Linked DNA regions of Lepisosteus oculatus. The protein of the gene in region 2 purifies or fractionates together with the protein of the main gene of each other region. This does not show direct contact. Links are inferred from orthologs where the notes say so. Each region holds a gene or a part of one and is shown on either strand. Other genes may lie near its edges. The genes, in order: akap1b, cAMP-dependent protein kinase catalytic subunit alpha, akap11 and pde4dip.

Region 1 (7,447 bases), on a different chromosome or scaffold from region 2:
CTTCTCGTTCCAATTCCGCATTCGGGTTACCAGAACCAAGACCGGAAACAAAATTATACTAAAAAGCTAAAATCGCAGAGCAGACTGAATCCTCCTTTTTTAAAAACAGAAGTAAACCGCAAGGTAACCCTACGTTTCTGACTGACTTGAAAGAGGCTGCCAACATCATCCCCGTTTCTGCAGGGGTGGACTGTGAATCCTAACCAAGTCCAGGCTTCCACAGTGAGAAGTCATTCAGGAAAACAAGAGGTAACCGTCAAGTCTACCCTGGCAGTTAAGAGATCAGAAATACACAAAGCGCTCCTTCCCCATCTTCTCCATTCTAGCATGTTGTAACATCAGTCAATTGCATAATTATTTAATTGCATGCTGCACGGGCCAATTAAATAATTAAAGACCAGGTTGTTGGAAAGTCCTGCAGTGTGAGGTGCTGGAAGAACGGCAGGTCTAAATGCCCTTGGCTCAGATCAATCCGGGTCCCCTTTACAGTATTTCACTCCGCTCCAGTTGGGATCACACCGCCTTCCTGCCTGCCTTGTGCGCATTGCCAAAAAGACCTTTAGCTTGATCAACCTCTGCGGGACAGGAGACTGAGCAGGTAAGCAGCACCAAGCAGTACGTGGCGGCAAGAACCGCAAACAAGCCAATAACGTCACCCACTCCCCTCTCCACAGCCATGACAATGATGAAACATGCAGTGCTCAATCCCATAGCAGGAAACCTTCCACAATGCATTCAGCTCAATGTGGCACACAACATTTCCTCCACCTTCCAGCCACCTTGTCTGATGGCAGAAGAGTAGCGGACTGACTGTGGTTTGATTCATGGCTATCCGGGGAAGTAGAGGGCCCTTCATTCCTCATGCTGAAATCATCCACCACACACAAGTGGATGCTTAACATCACCAGGGCCAGCTCGAGGAGCAGCCATCCCATTCACAACGAGGAACTCGGTTAAGGCATTCTGAGCTTCACCTACAGACACATTTATTTTTGCAGTTGTATAAAAAAAATGCTTTGAACATGAAAAACCAGGCTTCACCATTAACTAAGTGAACACACCTCATCTAAACCTGAGGAAAAAGCAACCGCAAACCGCACCACAGAAAATGAGTGATGAAGCACCACTAAAACTCCAACAGGAGGAGTTCACTAACAAGTATGTCAGTTGAAAACTTCACAGCTGCTCGCGAATTGGAGAAGAAAACATGCACTCATCCCGCCACAACAACGATACGATTCCACAACGACTACGGGCGCCTAACCTCCCGAAGAGCTGCCGTGCACTCGCCCCAGGGGGATTCTGTCTCGCCCGCCGTGGGGAGGCGGCTTGTAGCCGCAGGCAGGCAGGTAGCCCACGACTACACACACCCAAGCGCACACGGCGACATTTTTAAAGCGACATTCCGGTGACGGCGGAGGAAGAAGAGGGAGAGCGACGCGCACGCCGTCTGCTTCCGTGACCTACACCTGTTTCCCCACGCGTGGAGAGGATCTCCCCGGCTGCTCTGACCGGCACGCGAGGCCTAACCTCCCGTCCTTAATGAAGCGTTACCGCCTCCCCTCCAAAGCTCACCTTGAACCAGGAGATAAAATAACTGCGGCCGCGCCGCGACCTTGGCAAGCGGGCGCAAGGGACACCGGGCTGGCCGTGTGTGTGCCCGGCGTGTCGACAAACCGAGCAAGTGGGCGATTTTAAGTGTATCGCAAGGTCTAATCGGAAACCCCCCCCCACCCAACACACACACACAACACGCCGGCGTCCTTCCGAAAAGCCCCGTTTCTGCAGCAGAAACTTAACAGACAACCTCACACACAAGCATCGTCAGGCACGTTGCAGAAAGCAGGGACTGCAAGCTGCTACAAGACGAGCGAAGGTGCACCGCCATCCCCGCTACATTTCGCCAGTGGGGAAACCGAATTTTAAAAAAAAAAGAGAGAGAAAGGCAACAATCTCATTCCACCCCAGTCATGCGGCACCGCAGACGACAAAAACCAAGGAAACAATGCAAAACGAGCGATGCCGCTGTAGTATATGTATGCGGTATATTGCGAAGGCGAGGTAGGCCGCAGCGCTCCTGGTCACTGGGCGAATGAGGAGAATGAGTCACCTCCAGACCCGCCGAAACGGAATCGCTCTCCTCCGTCAAATTCACCGGGAACTCGGCTACCGGCGGCCTTCAGCACGGCGTCGGGCGCTAGCGGGTTTTAACGAGCCCATGAGGATCACCGCTCCGGCCCTTCAAACCTCCCCGCTTCGCCGTCTTTGTACCTCTCCGGTCCGGCGGCGCGCACCACACCACCCCGCTCCTCGACTCGGGTCGCAGGCGGTGCCGCGCCGCTATACGGGGGGCCAGGGAGGTGGTGATGGTGGGAGGGAGAAGCGAAAGATTCAAAACGGCTACACTTTCGAAATCACACACGCCGCCTCCGCGGGCGGGCGACCCCCTCAATCCAGCCGGTGCGATACTCCGGTGCTCCGGGCCAGAACAAGGCAGCCTCCTTCGGTGTCTTTGTGCCCAACCGAGAGGAGGGGGGGTGTGTGTGGAGAAAGGACAAAAAATAATGAATAATCCCGTTTTCTGTTCTTCCAAACTACAGCAAAGACCTACTGGGAATGCACGGAGGTGAGTGGTGGTGGTGGTGGTGGGGGGTTAAAAAAACCCAGTTCGGAGACTCGAGTCGGGAAGGCTCGCCTGAAAAGTTAACTTACGGCTCCGGTGCTCCCTGAGGTTTGATAGGTCGCTGCTACGTCAGGAAATCTAACGCTACTATTAACACGCCTGCTGAGCCGACAGCCCCGTTCGCCTCGCCGCCGCCGCACATGGTGTGGGATACGAAGCGCACGTATACTTACTGTTTTTCTTTTTTGTAAAGCGCCACCGTGAATTGTATGCGACTATCTAAACAGATTCGTGCCCTTCTCTTAATCCCCCAGCGTGCTCCCCTCTCTGTCTGTCTCTCCTCCCCACGTGCTGGCAGTCCGGACACTGGACTCTAAAAACAGACACAACAGCTGATCACATCTCGCGACAGGCCCGGGCAGCCAGGCGGGTCTCGCGGAGGTTCCGAGCCAGGCGTCGAATCCCGAGAGGCGGGGTTTAGAGCAGGAAGGAAACTGGCGCCCCTCCGGCCTCCATGTTGGCTCAGGCGCCCGGCGCTTCGCCGGCGGGACGGCGCCGGGCGGCCAGGAGCCGCCATGGCGTGGGTTTCCGCGGCGGGCGACCTCTGCCCCTATCGCGAGGCTGGGAGGAGGGGACGCGTCACGGGCCGACGAGAAAAGCTCGTAGTGTTCACGGATGGTGGCCTGAGAGAATCTGACGGCACGGGCAGCTCATATTGCCTGGCTTTTGGTGTGAAAATAAGAATCGCTGCTGTTACTTGATTTAACGTGGGGCTGGGCTCATTCATTGTTATAAACCTCCTGGGAGCTAGAATATTGTAACGAATTCGGGTTTCGGTACGGAACGGAGCAGGCATGGGACTCGGGGAATAGGACTGAACACATTTATTAACTTGAACTTGAACCGGAAAAGGTACACACACAAGGACAGAGGTTACAGCGCTGCACCTTCTCTAACACACACACGAAAGGAAGGGGCTGTCTCGCAGCCTCCGCCCTACTATATACCGTCCTGTAGTCCCGCCCCCAGGCGCTGTTCTCAGCCCGCCTGGCGGGGCAGTACAATATACAGTCTATACACTATCATACTAAGAAACAAAAGCAGCCACCCCCTTTTAAAAACGGTGTCTTCTACTGAGACGGTGGAAAAAACAAGATGGGGGCTGCACGTTGGTGGTGGTGGAGGGGATCCCCATTACCTGTAAAGCGCTTTGAGTGGAGTGTTCAGAAAAGCGCGATATAAGTGTAAGCAATTAATTAATTAATTAATTAATTAAAAGCGTTTCCATCTCGTCTTGTCCAGATCGCATCCGAGCTGGGACTGGTCAGTACGGGAAAATGTATCTCAAAAAAGAACCTGCTGTAGTGATGTAGTGATAGACCAGTAGGTGGCAGCCAATGGGCGACACTGCACCATAGGAGGCGCTGTCCTTCAGATGAGTTAAACAGATCCTGCTGTATTAAAAATCTCAGGGCAAGAGGCAGGTTGTTAACTCCAGTGTCTGGGGCAAACTACACTCTGGATTTGTATAATCTAGGGCTCCCTATTTTTTAAAAAATGAGTTATGCATGTACAATACAAGTGATATGCAATGTTTTGTAATGTATTCAGATGTACAGAACTAGTATGCATCCATACAAAAAATTCCCCATGGGGGACAAAGTTAATCTTATTTCCTGGGATGAGGAAGAATCTACAAGATGAAAGGCTAAACAATCTGTTAACTCTCATGTTATTAGTTATTGTATTTTTTAAGTTTATTTTGATTTGCCTGTGAAGCAAGAAAAGTCCCCCTAAAGTCTATGGACCTCCTTTTCATGTTCGGAGCAGAAATCCCAAAACGTGAGATTATGTAAAGTCAGTAACGATCATTTAATTTTTGCGGGCATGCTTTCATCATGCAAGAGCGTGATGCTGACTGCGTCTGATGAACTGTGCAGTGTGCGTCAGGATGCCTTCGCAAGAGAAAGGGTTTTGCATTGTGAATGGTGCTAATCTCTGGTTTGACTAAGCAATTAAGCGTACTTCCCTCAAGTGCCTCTGCAGTTAGTAAAAGCACAAGAAGAGATCGATCAAGGAGCTCAAGTCCACAGGACAGGAAAGCTGACAGTAGCAGCCACTATCTGCCTTAACTTTCTTTACTTAACGTTTTTTCCTCATGGTCCCTGAGCTTAAAATATAAAACTCACAGGTAGATATAAGAGGTGCTAATGACAAAAATATTTGTAATCTAAAATAGTTTCTTGGATCCATAAACTTCTAACAGCAGGATGTCTTCTTCTTAAACATGATTCCCTTTCCACCAAAACAGGCACTGCACAATTCCAGTCTTTGTGCCTGCATGGTACTACAGTTAAAGGCATCAGCTACACCCAACTAGTCAGCTAGTTTAACCATTAACTAGCCATTTGCACAAAAGGCCTCACAGACTGGGTTTTCCACCTGTCCTGAGGTGTCTTGTATTTAGGCTCTAGCTTCAGTGGGTAATGCACTTGTAAGAAGTTCAGAGCAAGAGAAAGCAAGTTACCTGGCAGGGAAAAAGCATTCAGAGCACAAGCCGGACACAAAAATAAAGCTGGGACAAAAATAATCCCATCAGCTCATCCATACAGAAAAATCTGCCTGGACTGCTTTAAAAAAAAAGTTCACTTAATTATAATTTAAAACGTGCGTTTTTTCTTCTTCAGCTATCTCGGAGGACTTGTCGGCTCTCTGCCTGGGTCACCCGAACAGAAGGACACCAGCACAACAGATGTTAACAGGTTGAATTTACATTTTTACTTCCAAAAAAAGTCATACATACAGGGATGGAAATGGAAAGGGAGAGAGGTGGGACGAGCAAAAACTTTGAACAATGATTTCTACAATGGTAGCTACGAGTAACATATCCAAATCTGACAGCAGTTTCTGTAGCGTCTGATGAGTTCCTCTGGCATGTCTTTGCCACACAGAAGTAAAAGGAATGAGGCTATTCATTAAGGTAACATTGCTCATGGCGAAGTCCAAAGGGAACAGTAAAGTTTACCTTACACAGTGCGAGTTTATAATACACAGCAATTTGTAGTCATCTCTATTTTTTTCTCAGTATGTTTATTTTAATGGCATAATGCAATGAAAGTGGAGAGTATCATTACTAACACTAGAATAATTAAATTTGTATGTTATACATGTACAGCAACTAACTGCTTTACAAAAAAGCAAAATAATACAATATATCGTCACATGTATTTACAGTGTAGTAAATATACCTTTGTCAAATTTTACACAAAATATTTACAGAGGTGAAACGTACTGCATTAAAAAAAATAGTGTGGCTAACGCTCAACAGTGACTCCTTGTGGCGAAAATGTGTTTTGCATAACCTCGTGGAAGAGGTGCCTAATTTTAGGTCATTACTCCTTGCAAACGACATGTCTGACTGCAGTTAGGAATAGTGCAATTCTACACACTACAAAACAGCCTTCACACAAACCAGGTCATCTGCTCTATGTGCACTCTCAGCTTTTAAAATCTTTTTGAAAATCATTAGGTGCCCTCAGAAAATGGTGGTTGTATTTTTTAAAAGGTCTCGGTTCCGGATGAGCTTTGTTTCGCTGTCCAGTCAGAGGCAGGACCTTTATCTCTGCAATGCAAACCAACAGCCGCCACTCAGTCTGCCATATTCTGGAGTTCCCAGCTAACAAACGTCACGTCTGTGCTTGCTAACCTTTTCAGTATCCAGTTCCCAGTCCATCGCTATTCCCCCTACAGTTGCGTACCATTGTCACACAGGTGCAGAGCATTCTTTTGAGGAGGAATTCGCAAAATATTTCTCATTAAAGGGTGAGAAAATGGGAATTCCAAAATGAGTGAAAATATTTTTAAGTTTGTTCCTATTCAATAAACAATTTTTACTAATTCGGTATCATCTATTGAAAACTGAAATAACCCCGCATTGGAGACTAAAGGCTTATAAGCGAGTTGATCCAACTAGTCGTTTTTCCCTTCCCATACAGTTGTGCAGACAGAGCTTCTCCCACCTTCTGCTAAGGTGCGAGATTTCTTTCTGCGCAACGTCTGCATCGCGCTGCGCCAGGTGACACTTGTGACAAGAGAGAGCAAGTTGCCTGGGGAGGGAAAACTGCATTCTGCACCCTGGCACGAAACACAAATAAAGCAGAGATGCACCCAGAATCCTCCCCTCAGCTGAATCAGTTTCGTCTCAGGCCTCTCCTGTACAGCATCTCGGTTACTGGCGGTCCAAAACCTAGAGAGACTTGGGGCGACGCTCTCGGAAACACCCGGTCGAAGTGGCATCGGCAGACAAACGGCAAATAAGGGGTGGGTTCTCAGGAGAAGGCGGCTCCCACAACCAAATTACAGAACCAAAGATGGTCCTTTTCTTCTCAGCCGTATGACACAGGAACGAACGGATTTCTAGCTTGGGAACACCTTGGAAAGGCCTACAAGGAGCAAACAAACTTTTAAAGTACCTTGGCTACATTTGTTAAATCACCTTTACACTGTCCAGACCTATTTTAATATACATACTCCCTCCACTAGCGACTGCATTAATTATTTTGGTCGGTATTTTGTTAACTATAATATCAAGATAATCAAAAAGCATTCACTATCTGTAAATATATATAATACGAAACTCAGGCTGCCTCCGTCCCTCACTCTCAAATGAACTTTCTCTCTTAAAGTCAGTGATATAGGAGCTTATTCTGTCACTATATTGCAGTTCCTGTACTTTGGTTCCTTTAACAATACAACATTAAGGTCTGTAACACCTTGTCAGATTGGGTTTGGTACCTTTATGTTACTTTCAAAGCTATTTTTTCC
Region 2 (7,279 bases):
TGGCAGCTACCGACAATGACCGGGTACCAATCACATTGCAACACAAATACATTTTCCTTAGCTGAAATCTCCTGTACTAGCTGTACTGTGTGTCTGCAACATCTCATTTTGCTGTACATTTTAAAATATGGGCTGTAATTTTGACTGTAATTGCCGTTCTTGATTATATGTGATTGTTGTTCTGTTAAATAAATCTTAACTAAGTTTTTTGTTAGCACAGAGATTAGAATGGATTTGCACTGTGACCTAATTATTGTTGACTACAGTGAGCGATTTCTTCCATTACATTGTTGTCAATTTAATTAAATGGAATGTAATTGTGTGACAAATTGTTGGTGATGGAAAGCTTGGCAATGAATAATTCAGAGCTGAATTGTCGCTGCTAATGAAAAGGGACTGGTAAATTCATGGGATGACAATCCAGAGCTCTGCTTTCACTCACAACAGCAAGCAGATATACAGGTACAGACCAATGATTGCTGACACTATCGCATCAGTGAAACTAGCATGGTCCTTTGTTCTAAGATTACGAAAAGCAGTTAAGCATTTAGGATTTCATATAGAAAGATGGAATTATCAGTCAAATTTAATAACTTTATGATCAGGTGCACCTACAGTAGGCCTTGCATTTAAAATAAATCCCCCAAACAATTTTCTAAATCCTGTGAAATTTCACTCAAACTCTGAACTTCTTGAGTGCAAGGGCAGGCTGAAACATTGCATCATTTCACTACAATAACCGTACTCAGGAGCTCTCAGTTTGAAAAAAAGTTGTTACATCTTGCTGTTACCAAAATTCTGGACCATCTATAATCCATATTATGATTGAGCTGCCCAGATTCCAAGAAATAGAACAAGAGCTATCTGAGAAGAGTTGTTCTTGGATAGCTTATCTTGGAAATCACCTGAAGAAAAACATTGCAGTGTTCGGCTGCTGATGTAAGCTACATTTTGAATAGGCGGCTGACTGTAGTCATGGCTTCAGGTGCATTTTTAGATCTATTGAAAATATTATGCATCTCTCCTGTGTGGGTCTTCTTGGTTTTGTCTTTACTGAAACATTAATCACGGACACCAAGCCCCAGGTTTGGAAGGTTATGAATGGGAGTTTTCAGTTTTTTACTTAGGAACTCCAGAGTCAGCACATTGTGGAAAATCAAAATCTTTTTCTCATTTAATGTAAAAAATTCAAATATGGAGACGATGGACTACAAATGCACTTAACAGTCTTTTCTGAACCATTAGATAAAATCGGTCTTGTAGAGTTTAAGGAATAGGGAGGTCAAAATCTATATGCATAACAGCTGAATGTCGATCCCTTCGGTAACAGGTGTATGGTGTGCTGAGGTTTTTATTCTGTCTCGGCATATATAGTGGCACTGATTAGAGACCCAAACCCTACAAAGAATCACTTATGAAACCTTCTCTTTTTGTTGGAGATTAAAAAGCAAACAGTTAAGAAATCATGCATACATTTGTGCACCTTTCCCAATTTCCTACATCCCACAAATGTAAGAAGAAACCTTTTCATTTGAGTTGCAGAATTTTTAGGTTCAACACACCCTTTGATTTCAGTTCTAGACGTTCGGTATGTCCATGTCAATATTTAATCTCTTAAAAAAGGTATGTTTTAATAAAGATCCAATTTTAGAAGTGGACTCATCAATTAATTTTCTTTTAATGAAGTCAGAATAACCCTTTTCCATTTCATTTGCAGATTGTTTTTAATTAAGCAGTGGTGCACAGCTTTGCATTCTTTTCAGATGTTTATGTACAGATGTGTAATATCTCTGCAACACAGCAAGTTTGGAAAGGTGGCTGTGAAAGAACCCCTACGGCCGTGAACCAATACAGGGATAATTTCTGCTTGTTAAGTAATACTAGAACATGGTACCATCAAGGAAGAGAAGCAGTTTTTATTTATGTCGCAAAAAGTATAAAATACAACTATTGTCTGCTATCTCCTGTATTTTTCATCACTGTCTGAACAGCGTCAGTAACACATTTTTTAATTGGATGGAGGGCACTGGCAAATGACAGGAGTGATTATTGTGTGATAGGCTGAATGTGAACTCATCCAGCCATGGGGACGCCTGGCCTGCTGTGTGCCTGGGCTGTGAGCAATCCTAGTCCTAGCCAATGATGTGTCCCAGCCCCAGATTCTGAGCAGATATCTGTACTAGTTTAACCACTGGAGGGAGCTCTGCTTTTCATGATTTCAGATGATTGAGTGAGCTATAAAAGAAAGCAAAACAGTCTGTATACAAAATTCAAACATTAAGGGCCACGTGAGCACAACATTTGTAAATATTATCCTTAATCTCTTCATTTCCTTATTAGTATTAACATCCTGCACTTAATAAGATTCTGTTTTATCACATTCTGGTGCTCAGATTTTACTTTTAACTTTCATACAGCAAGACCTTCATGAGTGCTGAGGATACATTCCACAGACAGGAGTGCTGTGGAATTCAGCACTAAGAGAAGGAATTACAGCTCGAGTTCAATGCGTATGCGTTCTCATGAACCCTGTTTCTAACCCCCAGTGGAGCCCTCATATGACAGTAATATCTATTGGTAATGGTAGTACTGCCATCTGTACCACAGAATATAATTAACAGAATATAATTGTATACGGAAAGGAGTTTTATTTTTAAATCACTTTATAGGTGCAGAGACAAATTTGTCTGTGCCTCAGTACATTCAAGTTGGAACTTACTTAGACCATCCACTGTCTGTCTTCACCCCTCCAGCTTGGCTGCAGTGGGAGACTTATAGGAGGAGCCACATTTGCCACGATGTGCCAGGCTGTGGCACATGAGAAAATTACTGTAATAAAATAACCGAGATCGAAAAAGTGCGAGAGCATTGTAAATGGTCCTTGCTGTTCTGCACGGTACTATGGACTGAGTGTTGAGAGCTGTTTTTCATTGCTTCTTGCCTTCAGAACCAAAAGCAGGAGACACGTCTCCAGCCTGAACTGAGTGTGCTTTAGGTGCTTCTGTCTGACCGGTACGCATGTCACATATGACCTGCCAATAAGCAGACTGTTCTATTGAGAATAATTCAAATAATGGCCAGGACAAAGAGCACTATGACCAATCAGCACTAAAAGAAACAACACTAAGCAAGGTATTACACCTAAAGGAGGTTCCATGGCTGAAATGTTGCATCTCTTGTCTTTACCTTTCAGTATGAAATTAACCTTTACCTAGTACGAAGCAAGGTATTAAGAGTGTGCTGATGATCAGGAATATTGTCTGTGAGCATATACATAGACCTGCCCAATACTCATATCAGCTTAGGGCAGGAAAAACCAGTTCCCTAACCTTTGCCTTCACCACAGTTTGTAGCTAATTTGCCTGTTTGGAGGGAGGATTTCCAAACTATTGTGTTTGTGCCAAGGAAAGAGAAGGCAGAAGAGTAATACCGCATTCTGACTCCCAGCAGGCTCAGGGAGAAGAGTGTTTCGGATGAAAGAGGAGAGGCATTCTGAGTTTTCAGTATGGAATGAGAATGTAACTAAAGCAGAGATAGGGCTAGTGAAGAGCTTTGTCATCTGCAGAATGAAAGGAGACGAGGCTTCGTTCTCAAACAGGTTTTGCTTCCTTGCCGACGCTACCTGGAGCTTTCCGTGGGAGCTTGCAGACAATATGGAATATATCCTTTTCAAAATCTCTCTTTTTTTTTACTGCCAAAGAGCCCCGAGAGAAGAGGTGCAGACTGTGTAAGAGTGAGCACAACTGGGCATTTTTAATGAAAATGCACTGGAACAGTTTCAGCAGGAGGAAGGTTGTGCTAAGACACGTGCTAGTTCATGGACTACATATTCAGGTTTCTCAGCTGCATAAAGATGTCTGAAGAGTGTTGCTGCACACAAACTATCAAAGACAATAGTCGGGTAGCCGGACAGGTGAATTGAATGAAATTTGTCTCCTAGGGGAGTGTTTTTAACCGAAAAAGTGCATATATAGTTGACTGACCTGCATACCCAGCATCAGACGCTGTGGAGCATATTTCCTTGCCTTATGCTTAAAGTGAAACAGCAGTGCTATTTTGAGATGTGTTTTGCCAGAGAATTTCTGAGGAAGTGCAGCACAGCCTCCAGTTGAGAAAGGGAAGTGGAAACACTGGTAGTTTTAAAATCAAAAGCCTAACAGGTGTGGGGGCACCCAGCCGAGTTGGGTCCTGCTCCATTCCTTCACCCTTGCAGTAGGCTCAGCCGCTCCCTGGGGATCTGCACGGCAATAGAGGTACAGTTGAGTGTTCAGAAGCTACTGTGCACGGGGACGCAATGTCAGCTCTCCAGAGGCTAGCAGGGAGACTGTTCCAGCGCAGTCCCCGGCCGGCTGACGAGGAAGCAGGGGAGACCTGCTTCAGGTTTGAGGAAGAGGAGTACAGTTATAGAAGTGAGTCAAAGATGCAAAGGAGAGGGGGGTACTGTATTGTTAAATTAATTTAACTGCTGTGAAAGGACGGCGAATGTAACTTAATCCTGCAACATCAAACTTTAATGTTGCTGTGTACGAAGTGTATTGTTTTTTTTTCCTTGTCTCATTGCAAATCTCACTGCACTTTTCTTCATAGTATCACTTTCCCCTTGGGGTTTTTCTTTACTCTAGTATAACCCCAGTAATGGAGAGAATGAGGCTGGTTTTGTACTGGGTTTCTGGTGGGCTCTCTAAGAGTTAATTTCACAAGTGTGTGAAATTCTTGATTTCACAACGTCTGACACTTTTTCAATATGTATGAAAAAGTGGGCAATGAGTAACGGCCTGAGAACAGAAGTTTGTATCAATATTCTCAGGGTGTATTCACTGCCCACTTTTTCATACAGGCTCAATTTTATGTACTGGGCAATGTGCGATTATCTAAAATGAGAATTTTGCAGAATCAGAGGAACAGTTTCAGTTAACTTACAGAGCATAAACATTAGTTTCCCTTGCAGTGACCATTGTGCAACTTCCACTTTGTCATGCTGGCGGACAGTTGATTTTACAGAGTTTCTTCCGGTACAATGGCAAGCAAATAACTGGGGGCGTCTTGACCCTTTCAAACACTGTTCAAATTGCAGACTGACCTTGTTTGGCGTACTCTTTAAGATTATGAATCTCCCATGTTAATTTTCTTTTGAAAAGGAAACTGAAGTAGGCCTGCAAATATTCAATTGAAAGTAGCCAGCTTTCTGGCTTTCAGTGTCTTTGTTGACAAGCACAGAGAAAAGCATAGAAGTGATTGCACAGCATATGTAATTACATATTCTGCTTCTCTTTCATTGTTTAAATTCTATTTTATTTGTTTGTTGCCTGTTTCAGGGATGTTAAAGGTTAATATGGACTACGGAGTCTGTACTATAACTATTACATAAGGAATATAGTAATAATATTACATTGAATACGCTTTTATACTCGGGGTGCACCATAAACTGTTTATTGCAGAATACACCAGCACAGAAAGCTGAACAAAAGGTGCATTTGTTGTAATTTATTTTTAGATCATATGCTCCAAAATGTCTGAATCCTGTACATTTTCTGCCTTGCTTAGTTAAAAGTAAAGTTAGTGTTTTAAGCATTGAAGTTAACTGATGTTTTTTTTTTACACACTGAATACTTCTTGAGTGAGTTGTGGTAGACTTTTCATGCATGCATCCCTGATGCCTTTCACAAAGCAGGCAGGAGTGCGCCTTCTTTAAATAGAATGGAGAACAAAGATTTCCATACATTTTTTGTGGCAGGCATAAATTCACATAGACAAGGCAGTGCTTACCCAGCTGCTATTAATAGCTTATGCTGAATTACACTGTTTGTTAACAACCTTGTTTTTATACCTGTCTAACAAGGACAGGTTTGTATTTGTCGGAAAGGAATGTTTTACCTGTTCTTAAAGGGACTTGCTCCGTAATTCTAAAATGTGATCTGGGTACACACCTTTGTGTACACCTTTTGTAGTTATATTTGTATAAAACTGAAGTGACACGATTTAAGAGATGGCATGACTCATTGATGGTCCTGTAACTGTTGAGCAAGTGTGACCACACCACAGAACCCCTACATCTAAGTACAGGCTCATAACTCTCAGTACATAGCATAAATAGTTAAACATTGAAGAGGTTCAAGCAGGGAGCTGTGTCAGCATGCATTAGCTGCAAAGGAACAAACAAAGGTTCATTCCATACTAAAAAGTAGAAAAGAGAAATGCAATGTTTCGACTGAGTTTTCTTTAGATGTGAGCAGTGTAGAGCAATGATTGGGGTTCTGGACTAGTAACTGCAAGGCCATGGTTCACATCCCAGGAAAGACCCTTTCATTGTACCCTTGAGTAAGGTACTTCACCTGAATTGTTAGAGTACAATACCTAAATTAAATGTATACATGGGTGCAAATGTGAATGTAAATCTGAATGTTCTAGTAAAATGTTTATTATAAAATCCAAAAGGCCCACGTTAAATCTGAGATTGGTTTTATGGATATTGTTGAAGCTTACATGTGTGACAGTCACATGTGTGACATGTTAAATACTGTCTTCAAATTATCAAACAGTTTTATGGGGAAAATAGACCAGATTTTTAAAATAAATGTGAAAGTGCTGTTCTCAGAAGGGAAAAGATCAATTAAAATAGAGGTTTTTTTTCTGGGTCACAGCTGACGAAGAAGTTTAGTATAAAGCCTGAGTTAACTCCCACTTACTAGTAACTCGTGGTAATCCTGTGAATACCGGGAAGGAAACAATCGGTACTCCTTTGGCGAAGGGGTGGGAGGAGCGTGGTGTGAGAGGCGTGCGGTATGGTATTGCTGTGGACACCAGTCAGGTAGAGCATGGTGCGGCACTCCAATCCTGTGAAGGATGGGAGACCAGGGGCAAAGGATACAATACCAAGCGATGATAAGTAATTCACCTTTACAGGAATATCCTACATCTGTGTGGGCAATAAACTGAAGTTTGTGATATGTATCTGAACGACAGTGAAAAGTACTGAAAATATAACAGATGAACAGGTAAAGCAGAATATCAAAGGGTGTGAGACTCGGAGGATGAATTTAAGATGTTTTAGTTGGCTATTTTATTATATTATGCTGTTGATAGTGTGTGATGTCAGGGGAGGGGGGGACGGAACCACAGTCTGCACTGAAATGACCAAAATAAGCATTTCCATTCAAAAGCTATAAATTCAATTAATTTTTACCAGATATTTGTGGTCAGTTTTGTAAGCTCAGATACTGTTCATCCCTATCCTGCAAATACAGTATAGGAGAGGAAAAGCACATGGTACAAAGGCCTG
Region 3 (6,847 bases), on a different chromosome or scaffold from region 2:
TCTGAAAGACATTTGTTTTAATTTATATTACAGGTGGTAAAAATAACATTAAATTCCACCTACTGTCTGAACATTTGGTCTTAATTTAATTAAAATAAAAGGATATTAGAGCCAGAGGCTATAATAATGAAATATATAAATTCCCCAAAAGTGATTTATGCAAATTTATATAATACTTAAGTATTAATGTAATTTCAATCTTATTTTTCAGCTAGTTCCATCCTTCTATAGGAAACATTAAGTATTTTTAAAACACATAATTTCAATTAATCCCAGTGCCTTTTCCCAAACAGAAATTGAGCTTGGTTTAAAATCAGTATATGGACACATGTGTATAGAAAGGAAGATATAATAGTAAGATTGTAAAATCCTATCGTAAAAATAGTAAAATCCTCGAAATTTGGAATTGTAAGCATTATAAGGCTGCAGAAAAACAGAAGAGTATTTCTTATTTAGTACAGTTATACACTGACAATGTGAGCTGTAAACCCATCATAGCAAATTAATGTGCCTTAATATATTGCAGTATTAAAAAGGGCAATAAAATATTTCAAAAGAAGGGATCAGGTGGTTATGAGAGTAAAACACTCAGTGTTTTTGAATAGTTACTATAGGCTCCTGCAGAATGTTTATGAGCTGAAGAAAGCAGATCACAAGATCGAGTTGTGTAATCTGTAAGAATATCCCTCATAAGAGGCTTGAGAACCTATCCACTGATTGCAAGGTATGAATAAATGTGAGCATCATGAACTTAGAAATATATGCTATTTTGACAGATATCCCATTTCATAATCATAATAATAATTCCTTCCACTTCTGTAACACTCTTCTGGACACACCACTAAAAGCGCTTTACAGGTAATGGGGACTCCCCTCCACCACCACCAGTGTGCAGCCCCACCTGGATGATGCGATGGCAGGCAGTGCACCAGTACGCTCCCCACACACCAGCTATCAGTGGGGAGAAACCGGAGAAAACCCATGCAAACTCCATACAGATAACATCCCGCATCCAGAACTGAACCAAGGGGCCCTGCGCAGCAAGGCATCAATGTTAACCACAGCACCATCGTGTCGTCCAACATACAACTAAAATAATAACAAATTATTGGCAGAGAGCAGAAACTTTGTTCACCCTGAAACTTCTTATCTCATGCTTTTGGATTTGTACAGTAAATAAAATATGCTGACTGAATCATTTTCCAAAAGATATGTACTGTAATGAAGACGGAAATATTCACCAAAATACAGTACATTAAACTACACTGAAAATTGAATGCACAATATCCTGTAGTTCAAAGTCACAGTGTTATACAAAAGGGAAAGCAACATATTACAATATAACACAGCAATCGCCTTCAAGGTGTGGTATTTACAACAACTGTGTCATCCATTTCCCAGTGTGCCCAGTGAACCCATGTGATGAAAATCTCAGGCAGCCAGGAAGGGTTGCAGGTTGCGTGTTAGGACTGTTCTTCTCAGCTGTAGTCTGTGCTCGTGCAGTTTTTCATCTCACAAAGGGAGGCTCCAATACGTGTGATCTCCCCTCTCGTGTTCCCGCTGGGGCAAAAGGCTATGGGTTCAAGTCGCCAATTCATACATCACTGCGGTGTCCCTCACAGAGACATTTACTCGGATTACTCTATAGTCACGCCAAGTGAGAGCAAATACTGCACATGGGTTAACAATGAAACAAGTTGTGTTCATTGTGTTACGATTTCTCATTCCAGCTCCTCTTACCACAAAACTAAATGAAAAATCTTACTACAGTCCCGTCTCCTGTAGCACTGCTGATTCAACGAAGACCAAATTCAACGAAGACCAAATGAATATTCATACACAATTCTTATCTATCTCTTAGGCCGTGCAAGATGTTGGAGCAAAATTTGACAGCCTTAAGAGTTTCAGGGGTATACCAGTTATACCCATAATTCACTGTGGCTTTTAACGCCCACACTAACCTCTGCTGGTGTCCCAATCTAGAGAGATAGGGTAGGTTAAGCCACATTGTATATACAGTATAAATGATTGATAGAGAAAGGTAGTTCTATGTCATATTGAAGGCTTAAATGATTAAAAAATAATTTCAGACAAAGGCCTTCTGCAGCTGGTTAAACAGCAGCGAAAGGACTTTTGTCAGACACCAATGTTTCCTTAATCATTCCAACCTTGTGTAGATCGGAAGAACTTTCTTTTCTTTATCAGCCTCTGATAATATACAGTCCCATAAAGAAAATTTAACGTTGAGCTAGAAGTTTACAACACATGTAATTCAGCCAAGCTTTTATGCGTGACTTAGTGCCTTTGTTCTCTCTCATTACCCCTCAGCAGGACTGGAATTATAGACTGCACTTTCAAAGGACCACTTTATTAATCCATTATCCTCTGAGACTACTGGACTGACAGCACAGCCATTCAGTCTGGAGCGAAACACTGCTGTGACATAGTTGTAAATTTAATATAAATCCTATGTTGTAACTGTCTGTCAGGATGGCACAGAGGAATTTAATATGACAGATTGGTGGCTTCTGCTGATACCCAAATTCATAGCTAGGCCGTTTTCAAAGTGTTTTGCTCTAGAGCTAAACTTATCCTCCATATTCTAAAACTAATCTTAAAGATATCTGAGGTGCAAATTTGATTATTTAGATGTTCAAAAAAATATCTATATAATAAGTGAAATATGCACTTGTTTTACATCAACACATTTATTTCAATTATTATTGTCTCCTTGTGCGTGCGATGAACAGGATGTAGTCCCGCCTTGTACCTCTTCTGCTACCAGGGTAGACTCCACATTGCCACAACTTAAGAGAACGCCAGGAAGGGTCTTTCCAATATTGGCTTGATGCAGGTAAGAACATACAGTCAGAAAAATTACAAATGAGAGGAAGGCATTTGGCCTTTAGTACTTATAGGATCCCATTATATCATCCAGGTGTGTCTTGAAGGAAGCTATGGTATCAGTTTCAACAACATGACTTGTTCCACACTCCCACAATCCTTTGTGTACAGAAGCACCTCTTCTTTACCTTCTGTGTCCCCACAGAACACATCCTCTGCTTGCATCCAACGTCCAGTGGGAATCCAGAAGCTTTGTATCGGGTGCCATCATACAGTAGTCTTCTCTGTTCAAGACTACACATACTAATTTCTAGTCTCGCCATTCCAGACTGTAATCAAATTATTTGCATATGAATTAATGATATATTATATACTGAGGCATAAAAATGCATATAATTCTTATTGAAACTTAGAAATTCCAGAATTTTAATGACTCTCATGGTATGTAGTTATTTGTTACACTTATGCTTTTGATATATTCAGTATTCTTTGATGTGATACAGTAAATTCCGTAACATTTAAAAAAACATAATTTACACCTGCATTTCCTTTATTAAACTTTTAGTTACAGTTTATCCTGATATGAATACATTTTAATGCTACTGTGCATCAATCACTTCACATGGTGGTCACCAAAAATGTTATTTTTTTAATGCTATAGTAACATTCAGAAATATTTATTAATATATAACAACAGAGGTTGTGTTAGGGTTAGAGTAATGATGAATAGTTAATATGCATTTGAAAAATGACCATTAAATTATTATGAATGTTAATAAGTCGCATGTAGCCTTAGGGATATTTTATTCCTATAAAATCTTACCTTTTTTTTACTTTAAAGGGATCAAACTACCACCTTTGAAATGCAATTCAAATTAAATGTACATTTGAAGTAATCATTAAAAGTAGTAAAACATTTACACGAAGTAATCATTTTCATAAAAATCTTTGGGGTACGTCATCGGTTTGACAACAGCTACCTTGTCCGGCACAAAACTTAAACAGACTCTACGTCCGTATCCAGGCTCACAGAAGCTACAATATACTGTACGTATACACTATGTTAACAACGCAATAATTTATTTTTTCCATGTGGTTGTAATTTGAACATCAACCAAACGTCTGCTTTAGCTTTTTAAAATCTTAAAATTGTGCCCGGCAAATTGTAAAAAATAAGCCGGAATGTTGTAGTTCCGAGGTGTTAATTTTACACTGGTGGAAAATTATATAAATTTGCAACCTTTTCGCATTCCCATCATCGTTTCGGTGTTCCTTAGTAACCCTGGCAGCTTTCTCCCACGAATATATCATCATTCGGACTGGATTGCTTCGGCCTGGTTTCTCTTGTTTTTGTGAAATGAACTGACAGCAGCCGCGGGTCCGACGGCGAAACGGTGAGAATCATTTTTGAGATGAAAGTGATTACACATGACACACCTTTTCTTGACAGGATCGCACATCTGTTGTGGTAAACGAACATGTGTTCTGGTCATGCATGGGTAAATGACGGATGATACAAACGGGTCTGGTTAATGTTGTTTTTTTTCAGGCCGCGGCCCTGAAAACAATTCTTGGAAAATAAAAGCTTTAATGGCAGTCTTTCCGTTCCCCTGCGCGGGGTTGGAAGGGAAAGGGGGTAGTGGGTTTGTATTGAGTCGCTATTCTGTGTCTGGACGCTGATGGTTAAAAACTCGACATGTTGCATTCGCTATAGTGTCCTCAAAGACTGGAAATCCAAATAGCATCGATACAGTACAGCAGCAGGGAAGATGCGACACTAATTCATCCACAGTAGGAATGCGAGTGGGTTGATCGCTTTTCCCAGGGAGTGTAAACCATCTTCCCCCCAGACTGGAACTTTTGCCATAATTAGGGAGCACCAGTACCCTATGTGCCTGGTTTGTTTTTAGATTGCGTTTATGCCGTCGCTAGTATGTTATCGGGTGTTTCGGCAGTTTTCCGTCTTCGGTTTGTGACGCCCAGCGGTTTTACAGCATGCCGAAGTGCGGCATTAGCGCTGGCTGCTCAGATTAATTCCCCTTCACAAAGCGTTTCCCCTGCAACGGTCAATACACTATTCACATGAGGTGAAGGTGATAAGAAATCTACTTTTTTTGTGCTGTGTAATTAAGTGTAGTTATTAGGCTCCATACATTTTTTTTTATTTTCATATAAACTGTGAGCACTGGGATATTAGAATTCATGCTGTAAATAGGATGTGCATTCGAAAAGGTGTCATTAATCAAGGAGTGTGGAGGGTCTTGTGCTATAGAGTAGCGTGGAGCATCGACCCAAGTGTCTCTTTTGAGTGTTAAAAGTCAAATACATCTCCTCAAATGACACCATTTTCATTGCTTATTCTGATTGGACTGTGACTGGATGTCCGAGGTTGTTTGAATTGGCATACAGTACGAAACTTAGTGCGATTAGGAAATACAACCCGAGGACTGTTGTCTGTCCTCTTTCACATATTACTTTCTAAGTCAGATGGACACTTCCAGCCTGATCATGTCCAGTTGCTGCTGTGCAGAAAGATGTGCATGTCTCATGTTGTTGGAGAGTTTACTGTTATTGCCGTTTCTAAAGTTGCAGTATGTTTGCTACAAATTCTAAATCCTAAGTACAGTATTTCTTAGTACAGATCCTGGTTTCCGTTCAGTATCCACCCCCGTACTCGCGCCCACACTGACATAAAAACTGTACACGCACGCTTGAAAGCCTGACCTATATTAGTGTTCCTATGTTTGTAAATGTTTGCTCATACAGATGGTTGAACAGACATTCTCTTGAGCTTTTTGAAATAGACACATGTGAGCTCTACCATGCAATGTTAGTCTCACGCATACAGTTAGTGACCCCTGTTCTCTGCTTTCGGAGAGAACTTTGCTACTCGCAAACACACATACACAAACTAACAGGGTTAACAGAACATAGGAACGGCCATCTTATACAGTTTTTTGTCTCATCAAAACTTAATTAAAGCCTAAATAACTGTCGGCTTAGAAGAATACATTTGCGTAGTATTTTAAGCGCCAGTGAGGGTCACAGAGGTGTTGGCTACTTTCTTCATTTCCAGGAGCGGCTGGCTAAGGTTTCAGCTGATTTAGGCCAATTCTCATAAATACAGGGCATCAAATAAACAGTCGCTTACTTCTGTTGACTCATCGTTTGAAAGAGAATCGTTTTGGTTACGTGCCATGGCTTTGGAAGAGATGCGCACGAAGCTTTCTGGCGGGGGTTTTTTTCTCACATCTGCAGCTTCCTTTGTTTGCAATGGGAAAGAATTCCAGGCAGCGCTGTGGTGCTGGTTGGATGTCTACTGTGTCACAGGACGGTTTCTTCACTCTGGGAATGACGTCCAATCTGTTTGAGGCTGCACATTTTTCCTTGCGCGCTCACGGGCGATGGATGTGAACGCTGACCAAAGATAGATTCAGCGACTGGACTATTCACACAATGATTAATAGCACCTAGTTTTACAATGGGACAGTTCTGGTGTGTTGTTTAAATCAGTTCTCTTGCTAACCACTATGAAAAGGTGAATCATGCTAAGCATTGCCATACAAAGCATTCAGTACGTCATTCAGTGTGCTGTTACTCTTTTGCTGTCATTCGTAATCAAAAACAGGGAAAATACTGGGGTAGGTCCTTTCTGTATTGGGAACCAAAAACCACTGTTTGGTAAGGTTTGCTTTTTTACTCAAAGACTGCTGGCTGGGGTTTGTTCCTGGAAAAAGATTTGGCTCATCTCTCCTACTGTAGAATCGTAGACACAAAAAGATTTAACTCTTTGATTGTAATGTCCCCTCACAGTACTCAGTATTGTCTGGGAAGCTATTATTATTATGAATGTTTTGTCATTTAAATTCATGTCACTAACAAAACATATGGCATCCTGGTGGGTCTGGCTGATACTGTTTTTCATTTAAAATCTTCTAATGGCAGTTTTCCTTTATATAATGTTTCTGAAATTTGTAATACTCCTACTGTATGTGCTGCACAT
Region 4 (7,517 bases), on a different chromosome or scaffold from region 2:
AACAGCCCGAAGGTGAGGAAGGAAGTGAAATCATCGTGTTCATTCGACAGTTGTTTTTACAGTTACATGGAGTTGAGATTCTAGAAGTTACCAAATCTCAGGAAGTGGAACAGGTCCACAGAACCTTGTCCTAGAACCAAAAACAAGCAAAGAACCCGCAGTGTGGTACACTGCACTGCTTAACTACACAGACAGCCAGAGCTTTTCTTTAGAAATCTTAAGATCTTAGCATTGCTTTCGCTATAGCATCAGCATTTACCCAAACTTGGACATAAACTGAAGGGAAGAATGTTAATATTATATCTATTGGCTAATAGAGCTACTTACCGAAAATATCTTTTTAAATAAGAAAACTAGGAATTTGAATAATCATATCAGACCCTACTCCTAAAGATTAAATGTATTCCAATAATTGAGGCACATCATGCACCCTTTTAGTATATTTGCCTTGAAATAAACTGTAGTGTTTTCTACTAGCAGTTCTGTTAGAATATACTGTAAAGTACTTCTCTGAGACACACCCAGTTTCCTGACACCCCTCAGGCTATTACATGTAAATCTGTTTCAAGAGAAATACAGATGTCCTAATCAGGAAGCATAGTTCTCATAATTAGCCAGCTCTTTTACAGTAAATGTTTCAAATACCAAGTAAGCAACTACAACTGCAAAAGCAATAGGAGGTAGAGAGACAATGATTAAAGTATAATTTGAGCCATTTCTTGGAAAGGGAATATTTTTGACTTGTAAAACAAAAATCCATCAATTTGTTATCACAAAACGGCACTGAAATAAAAACAAGACTCTTCGAAACTATTATATTTATTTCTTGTTTGGAATGCATTCGCCGTTATCCATCAGTGTAGGTTTTTGCACTTTCTAAATCCTCTGATGTCTCAATCCAAGTCCTTAGTTTTAATGATATCTCTCCCAGCCCTTTTCCCTGTCACTGATGATGATGATTAGTGTTTGGGTTCCTTATCGTTTTCTAATGATGTGTATAAATGCATTTTAAATGCTTTTTTTGTGAATGCATTTTATTTATAACCTAAAATGGGTCCAATTATACAAAGACTCCCTGTAGACACAGATGACAAGCTAACGATATGCCCACACCCTCTCAGATATGCTTCCCAGCTGTAATTGAAAGTGTCTCTTTGCTGATTTAGACTGTCATTGCCGAAAAGTGTCTGCAAAAAAGGAGAAAATAATCTCACAAGGTCAGAGGGTGTGACATTAGACAGAGGAAATTCAACAATATTTATTGTGATGAAAACCTTGGAACTTGATTAAATAGGAATTTAGTGATACCAGTTTGACTTTATAGGTATTTTAAAAAAATACATTAATTCTTATTTGGGAACTGACGCGTAAATTTGACCTAACTGGCTTAAACTTGGAAATTGAGAAGGTAAGATACTAAAGAAGATTAGTCAGTTTAATATCACATTCAGTTAGCCATTTTGTCTCCAGGCTTCTTACAGTGTTACATTGTGTCGTTGCTGTCACTTTTGAAGGAACACGATCAAGTGCCTTAATTGCACTGTAAGGTTTAGTAACTCCCACTGATTAGAATAAATAGATTTTTAATTGCAGTTCTCGTTATTGTTGAAGGCTGTTGAAAGCTCATACGTCTCTCTTGTGGCTGTTCCAGTTTAAGAGTAAACATGCAGAGATGTTATAATTTATTCTAAACTGTGTAAGAACAGTGACGTCCCAACAAGCTGTATTAATGTAAATAATCACTTTTTCATTATGAAAAATGGAATTTATTGTAATGAGAGATTAATATTTACATCCAGGTTTAAGATTAACTGGTGAAAAAATGAAACCTGTTTTATTTATGAACAGACATACATTACGTATAGCGGGTGGTACATGTGTTTATATATGCACATCAGGGTCATTTTTCTGCAGTCAAATCCTTTGGGGGGGTAATTCTGTCCTAATTATTTCATTTTTATTGGTTTTTTAAAAATGGAAATCTCTCTTTGTCTTCATCACCTTTCATAGTCATGGCATTTTAAAGATATTTGTCATTTACTTAGTCATTATATGTCATTTTTACCAACGTTGTTGGGGGGGTAGTTATTTTAGTCTGCGTTGCACTGTAATTCAAAGTTTAGATACAGTGGAACTTCATTCCAGGTTTTCCTCTCAATAGTGATGTTGGACAAAGAGGAATGGCTAATGTGGTGGTGGTGGTGGAGGGGAGTCCCCATTACCTGTAAAGCGCTTTGAGGGGAGTGTCCAGAAAAGCACTATATAAGTGTAAGCAATTATAATTATTATTATTATTATTATTATTAATGCCGAGATTCTGGCTATTGTTATTCATTTACAGCCATCAGCCACCCCCCCGCTGAGACACAAGTGTCCAGACTGTCCCTGCTGTGGGTCCCATGCGTCTGTGTGTGTGCCAAGTCAGCCCATTGTTTAGGAGTTTGCTCACAGCTCTGCACACAACATGTGGCCTTTCACAGCCAGGCTGTCACTTCTCTCACTGTTGGGAGGGAGGAAGCCTATGGACACAGCTGACTAGGCCCGGCAAGAGGGAAAGGTTGTTTAAATCGATTCCCTCCCTGTGTTCTTGCCCTGCTGGCTATCTGTGCACTATAGGTGAATGATTTCCCCTGTCTTTCAAAAACACAAGACATAGTTGAGCTATTGGGGGAAAAGCCCTAATAGCACTACAGATGCTCTTGGATGGTGGAAACGAAAACAAAAATGGAATGGCTAACCTTTGTAACAAGAATGTAACCACTGTAGACTTTGTGACCACTGTTAAGTATTAATGCACCTCAAGGGCTCACGCAGACTGACAAAGATACTGGTCATCAAAGCTGTGTTTCCTCTTTTAAAGCAGTAGTTTACCAGAGCTGTGAAAGTATTTGTCCCCCTCCTCCCCAAGCAACAGAGCAACAACTGAAAGCACATTTGCGTGTGGTGTTGTTCCGGCAAAGTACGAATCTTTTCCAAGGAAAAACAAAAGAGTGCAAAAGTCATACCGCACAAAATTGTCGGTCACAGTGGGCAGTGCTTTGCAGGTGAGATCTGCAGGGCATAGTGCAGTTCATCTTGTCCCTCTGGCTATAATTATTCTTACTGGCAAGCTCAGAAGGCATGCCTATATTACTGCTAGGGTATGATTCTTAAAGGACAATGCAGACTTTAAAGAATTTTAGAGAAAGAAAGGTACTTTAGAGAAAGGTACTTTGGTGACGCGGTCCGCTTTAAAAGCCTACTAAAACAATAGAAATGCATCAAAGTATGACGCACATCTTTTCAAAGTCCTTCAAAGTTTTCCAGTGTTCGTATACAAGATGAAGTCATTTGAATACAATTGGTAGAGCTTTATACTCTTTCATTCTCTCAGTTAGATTTGAGTCATATTTGAAGCTGATATTTCAAGTCATCGTGTATGTGATTTGTAGGCTTGGTTTTCTCAACACCACACTCCCAGATGAACAGAGTACTCTGACTGACGTTGGAGACCTGCATTTTGTGTTCGTTTAGGGTCTGACCTGCTATTTTTAATAAATGTAAGAACGTTTTATTTTTACTAGCAAAAGGCCTTCTGCAAGAGACACATGGGTGGAGTACAGTGATTCATAGTGACGTCCAGTAATTCTCTCTTAAATAACAATAACTAGTAACTAGTTTTCCTAGTTTTTCAGTTAATTATTAATTTACTTGCGCATAAAGTATATGGGTATTTTCAGGTGGGTAGCTGCGTCAGCATGCGTAGGCTGCAAAGGAACAAGTAATAGGTTTATTCCATGCTGAAAAAAAGACGAAAGAGAACACAGCTATTCTGTGAGAAATTGCAATCGGCCTTTGCTTGAAGGAGGCTATATTGTACAAGCCCAGAGTGGAGTTCAGACAGGACTCCTGGCTTAACACCCCCCTGCTGATACACTGGATGATTTTGAAACCCACATCCACTTGTATATAAAATGTCTCGGTACACTGGCGTAATTTTAATTTTTCTTCTCAAGATTCTTAACTGAAACGACGTTTATTCAACAGTATTTACTCGGGGGTATTCTACTAAAAGAAGTCATTAACGCTTTCCACGTTTTAAGGACAAATTTCCGAAGGGCTGCATAAAGCATGTTTTGAGCGAACAGAGGGAGCCAGTTTAACGCGACCTTCACCTTTAAACCGGAGAATTCAGCGTTTCACCTCTGCCGGCGTGAACGCCAGATCACTGCTCGCACAGGGCTCCATGCAAATTACTTGCACTCGGGCTGAACCAACGTTTCGCAGGAGGGGCAGTGTTGTAGAATGGGGAGCAGATTTCATTTTATACACTTATTAACAAATCGAGTGAAAAAAAATATTTTGTGATATTATGTCTTTAGAGGGTCTCTTGAGTCTTTTTCAAACACGTTCATTCCTGTGGTTCTGGGGAATGATTGCTAGAACAGATACCCCTATTTTTCTTTTCAAATGGTGAGTCCCGCCATAGCAGCGCTAGCTGGTTACAGTCTTGCCACATCATTGCGAGCTTTTCAATGGACCTATTTCGGGCTGCAGCCTCGTTATCCGGGCGAAGTGCGTGTAAATAATGAAGCGCAAATACAACGGGACGTCCGTAATTTGTAGATAAGGCTCGGATTCCTCAAATCACTTTCACCTTCGTCCGGGGACCGTGGATCTCGGGAGTGTTACTGAAGTCGGATTACACGGCAGCGGCGGTGATGATACTGCGAGCCCTTTGATTAGGCTGAGCTTCATCGGGCAGATGCGCAGGCATCGCGTGTTCGGGAAATCCGTTCCTAAGATGTGACAAATAATGGTTTTGTTTTCCCGGAAAACGCTGTCTTAAACGCGCAATTGGATGTTCCTTTAATCCTTCACGCTATTGCATCAGGATTTCCATTACAAAATTAAAAATGGACTGGCAGCGTAACAACAGAAGGGGGTCTGTTTTGAATTTCACCTTTTAGTTATTTGTCTCTTCCAATATTAAGATTAAAAACACGAAGCGGCTTTCCTATGTAATAGTGTTATTTTAGTGCAAGCAACGCGATTTTGAGCCTTTTCTGTCTTGGTACCCAAGGTAGCTTTAAAGTATTTTGTGCGTATTTGCGTGGAGATGCTCTGCCGGGATGTTGGCCTCGATTCCAGCGGTACACTGATGATATTGAGCCTTTGCAGGAAGGGGTCTTTGATTACTGATTGCGGTTATCAGTATGAAAAGCAGCTGTTGATCTCATTTAATTCAGCCTGTTTAAAATCTCGCTTCAAGTCGTAAATGGCCATTTATCTCTGTTTTCCATCGAACAATTACAATTCGCAGCTTCACTGGGAGGAATCTTTTGCACATGAACGACTAAACACTGAATTGCTCAAATAAGTTTGATAAGCTTGAGTATTTTCAGGCTAAAAGTCCACTTAATTTATATTGTCAGGAAAATAACTTTTAAAATTGGACTGTATATTACACTGTTTAATTGCACATTGCTGGCTCTGAAACCAAACTTTCACAAATCAGATTTGTGCTGCTCAAGAGACCTACTTTGGCTGAGACCTCCCTGCCGCTAGGGGGCGCCCATGCTGGATTCCAGGATGAAGGACGCTTGCCGGATCTGCGCCCGGGAGCTCTGCGGCAACCAGCGCCGCTGGATCTTCCACACGGCCTCCAAGCTCAACCTGCAGGTGCTGCTGTCCCACGTGCTGGGCCGGGAGCTGACCCGGGACGGCAAGCGCGAGTTCGCCTGCAGCAAGTGCGCCTTCATGCTGGACCGCGTGTACCGCTTCGACACGGTGATCGCGCGGATCGAGGCGCTGTCCATCGAGCGGCTGCAGCGGCTGCTGCAGGAGAAGGAGCGGCTTAGGCAGTGCATCGGGAGCCTGTACCGCAGGACCAACGGCGACGAGGCGGGCCCGGAGGGCAAGGCCGGAGACGGCACGGTGGACATCTCCGGCTTGCCTGACCTCCGGTACAGCGCTCTGCTCCAGGAGGACTTCGCCTATTCGGGCTATGAATCCTGGGCCGAGCTCGAGGAGCAAACGGCGGACCCTCACCACCACTGCCACGCCTCCGAGATCTCCGTCCACCGCTCGAGGAGGTGCCGCGGTTGCGCGGCTCTGCGCGTCGCCGACTCGGACTACGAAGCCGTCTGCAAGGTGCCCAGGAAGCTGGCCCGGAGCATCTCCTGCGGGCCTTCCACGCGGTACTCGGCCAGCGTCGTGAGCAGCGTGTGCGGAGAGGAGCCGGCGGCCGTCGCCACCGTGCCCGAGTCGGTGGGCGAGACGAGCGGGGAAGACGCGGACGTTTCGGAGAGAATGAGTCCCGGCTCGTCGGTGGAGTCCCTGGACACGGCTGTTGAGATGGGGCAGCCCGCCGCCAAGGACGAAGAGGCAGAGAGAGAGATGAGAGAGGACCAGAAGTTTGATTCCTGGCCGGAAGAGGCCCCGCAGCAGCTAAATATGGCCGCGCAGGCCAACAGGCTGGACTTGGCTCTCAGCCTGGTGAAAAACGTTGAGTACAGGCCCATCCAGAGCCCACGGGGAAGCAAACTGCCAGTCCTGGTTAAATCTGTTCCCCCAGGACCTAACAGCAAAATGGCCTTTGCCGACTTGACACTCAGGACACCTTACGGCACTGGCTCCGAATTTCCCGCCAAATTTCAAGAGATGGTGCCTCCCAGAATTCAGCAGGACATGCACTTGGAGCTGTCCGAACTAGAGGAGCTCTGGCAGGATGTCTATGAGGAGTACATGCCCTTTAGCTTTCAGGTAGACGTCCCAGTACTGCCATTCAGTGACATCTTCACATCCTTCACTCTGCTGTCAGTGTGCTAAAAAATAGTGCAGCTGGATAAAGAATTTTCACTGTGACTTTCCTTGGAGTATTATGTCTGATCAGGCAACGTGAAGTGGGGTTTGTGATTTTTCTAAGGTTTTTTTTAGCCCATGTCAAAGCATCTTGTTGGGCGACGCATTCCAGATGGTTTATGAATTCTAATGTAGGTGAGATAGCTGTAGAAGGGGAAGGAGTGATCTTTAAACAAGAAATGATACCAGGACAATAGTAAAACCCTGACAATCATTTAGACATTAACCTCCCTTAGTATTATCTGTCGGCATTAGTATAAAATTGAATCTTATGACCACATTTATGTATAAAATTTGGTTACATAACATTATTTGAAGCGGTGCTTCTGGAGGGAGTTCTTTGATCTCTCTAAATGCAGACAGTGTCTTCCCTCTGCTTCTGCACTGCTGAAGCTCAGACATGTAGCGAATGTCAATGCAGTACTTTTATGAATATGCATCATATTTCGTGAGTATTTGAATGGCCAGCAAATCGTTGTGTGATCTGTCCTGGGTAATCTTATGTACTTTCAGAAATTTTAGACCACAGTGCTCTTGATAATCTGCTCCTTGATTGCCTTCTCTGGACATGTGCCAGCCTCTTGTGATCATTCTGGTAATTTCAGCATTGGCATGACAACAGTTACCTCAGTGACGTGATGCAGCACAATAGTTACAGCCACATCCTCTCCTTC

What was found.
Region 1: the proteins of cAMP-dependent protein kinase catalytic subunit alpha (region 2) and akap1b purify together in Homo sapiens (affinity purification with mass spectrometry; 8 studies listed by BioGRID and IntAct, with this or other methods). This does not show direct contact. The link is inferred for Lepisosteus oculatus from reciprocal best matches to the Homo sapiens genes PRKACA and AKAP1.
Region 3: the proteins of cAMP-dependent protein kinase catalytic subunit alpha (region 2) and akap11 purify together in Homo sapiens (affinity purification with mass spectrometry; 5 studies listed by BioGRID and IntAct, with this or other methods). This does not show direct contact. The link is inferred for Lepisosteus oculatus from reciprocal best matches to the Homo sapiens genes PRKACA and AKAP11.
Region 4: the proteins of cAMP-dependent protein kinase catalytic subunit alpha (region 2) and pde4dip purify together in Homo sapiens (affinity purification with mass spectrometry; 5 studies listed by BioGRID and IntAct, with this or other methods). This does not show direct contact. The link is inferred for Lepisosteus oculatus from reciprocal best matches to the Homo sapiens genes PRKACA and PDE4DIP.

The regions. Positions count from the first base shown.
Region 1 is NC_090721.1:6,861,374-6,868,820, forward strand, and holds the start of akap1b (A kinase (PRKA) anchor protein 1b), read right to left. Parts: upstream 3,019-7,447; 5' UTR 2,857-3,018; intron 2,798-2,856; exon of another isoform or gene 2,713-2,797; intron 2,681-2,712; exon of another isoform or gene 2,612-2,680; intron 2,491-2,611; exon of another isoform or gene 2,272-2,490; intron 2,242-2,271; exon of another isoform or gene 2,111-2,241; intron 1-2,110.
Region 2 is NC_090706.1:21,935,202-21,942,480, reverse strand, and holds the start of cAMP-dependent protein kinase catalytic subunit alpha, read left to right. Parts: upstream 1-4,259; 5' UTR 4,260-4,294; coding exon 4,295-4,409; intron 4,410-7,279.
Region 3 is NC_090710.1:16,668,544-16,675,390, reverse strand, and holds the start of akap11 (A-kinase anchor protein 11), read left to right. Parts: upstream 1-3,826; 5' UTR 3,827-3,891; intron 3,892-4,160; exon of another isoform or gene 4,161-4,238; intron 4,239-6,847. UniProt on the Homo sapiens protein: Binds to type II regulatory subunits of protein kinase A and anchors/targets them.
Region 4 is NC_090704.1:7,911,404-7,918,920, reverse strand, and holds the start of pde4dip (myomegalin), read left to right. Parts: upstream 1-4,513; 5' UTR 4,514-5,556; coding exon 5,557-6,744; intron 6,745-7,517. UniProt on the Homo sapiens protein: Functions as an anchor sequestering components of the cAMP-dependent pathway to Golgi and/or centrosomes.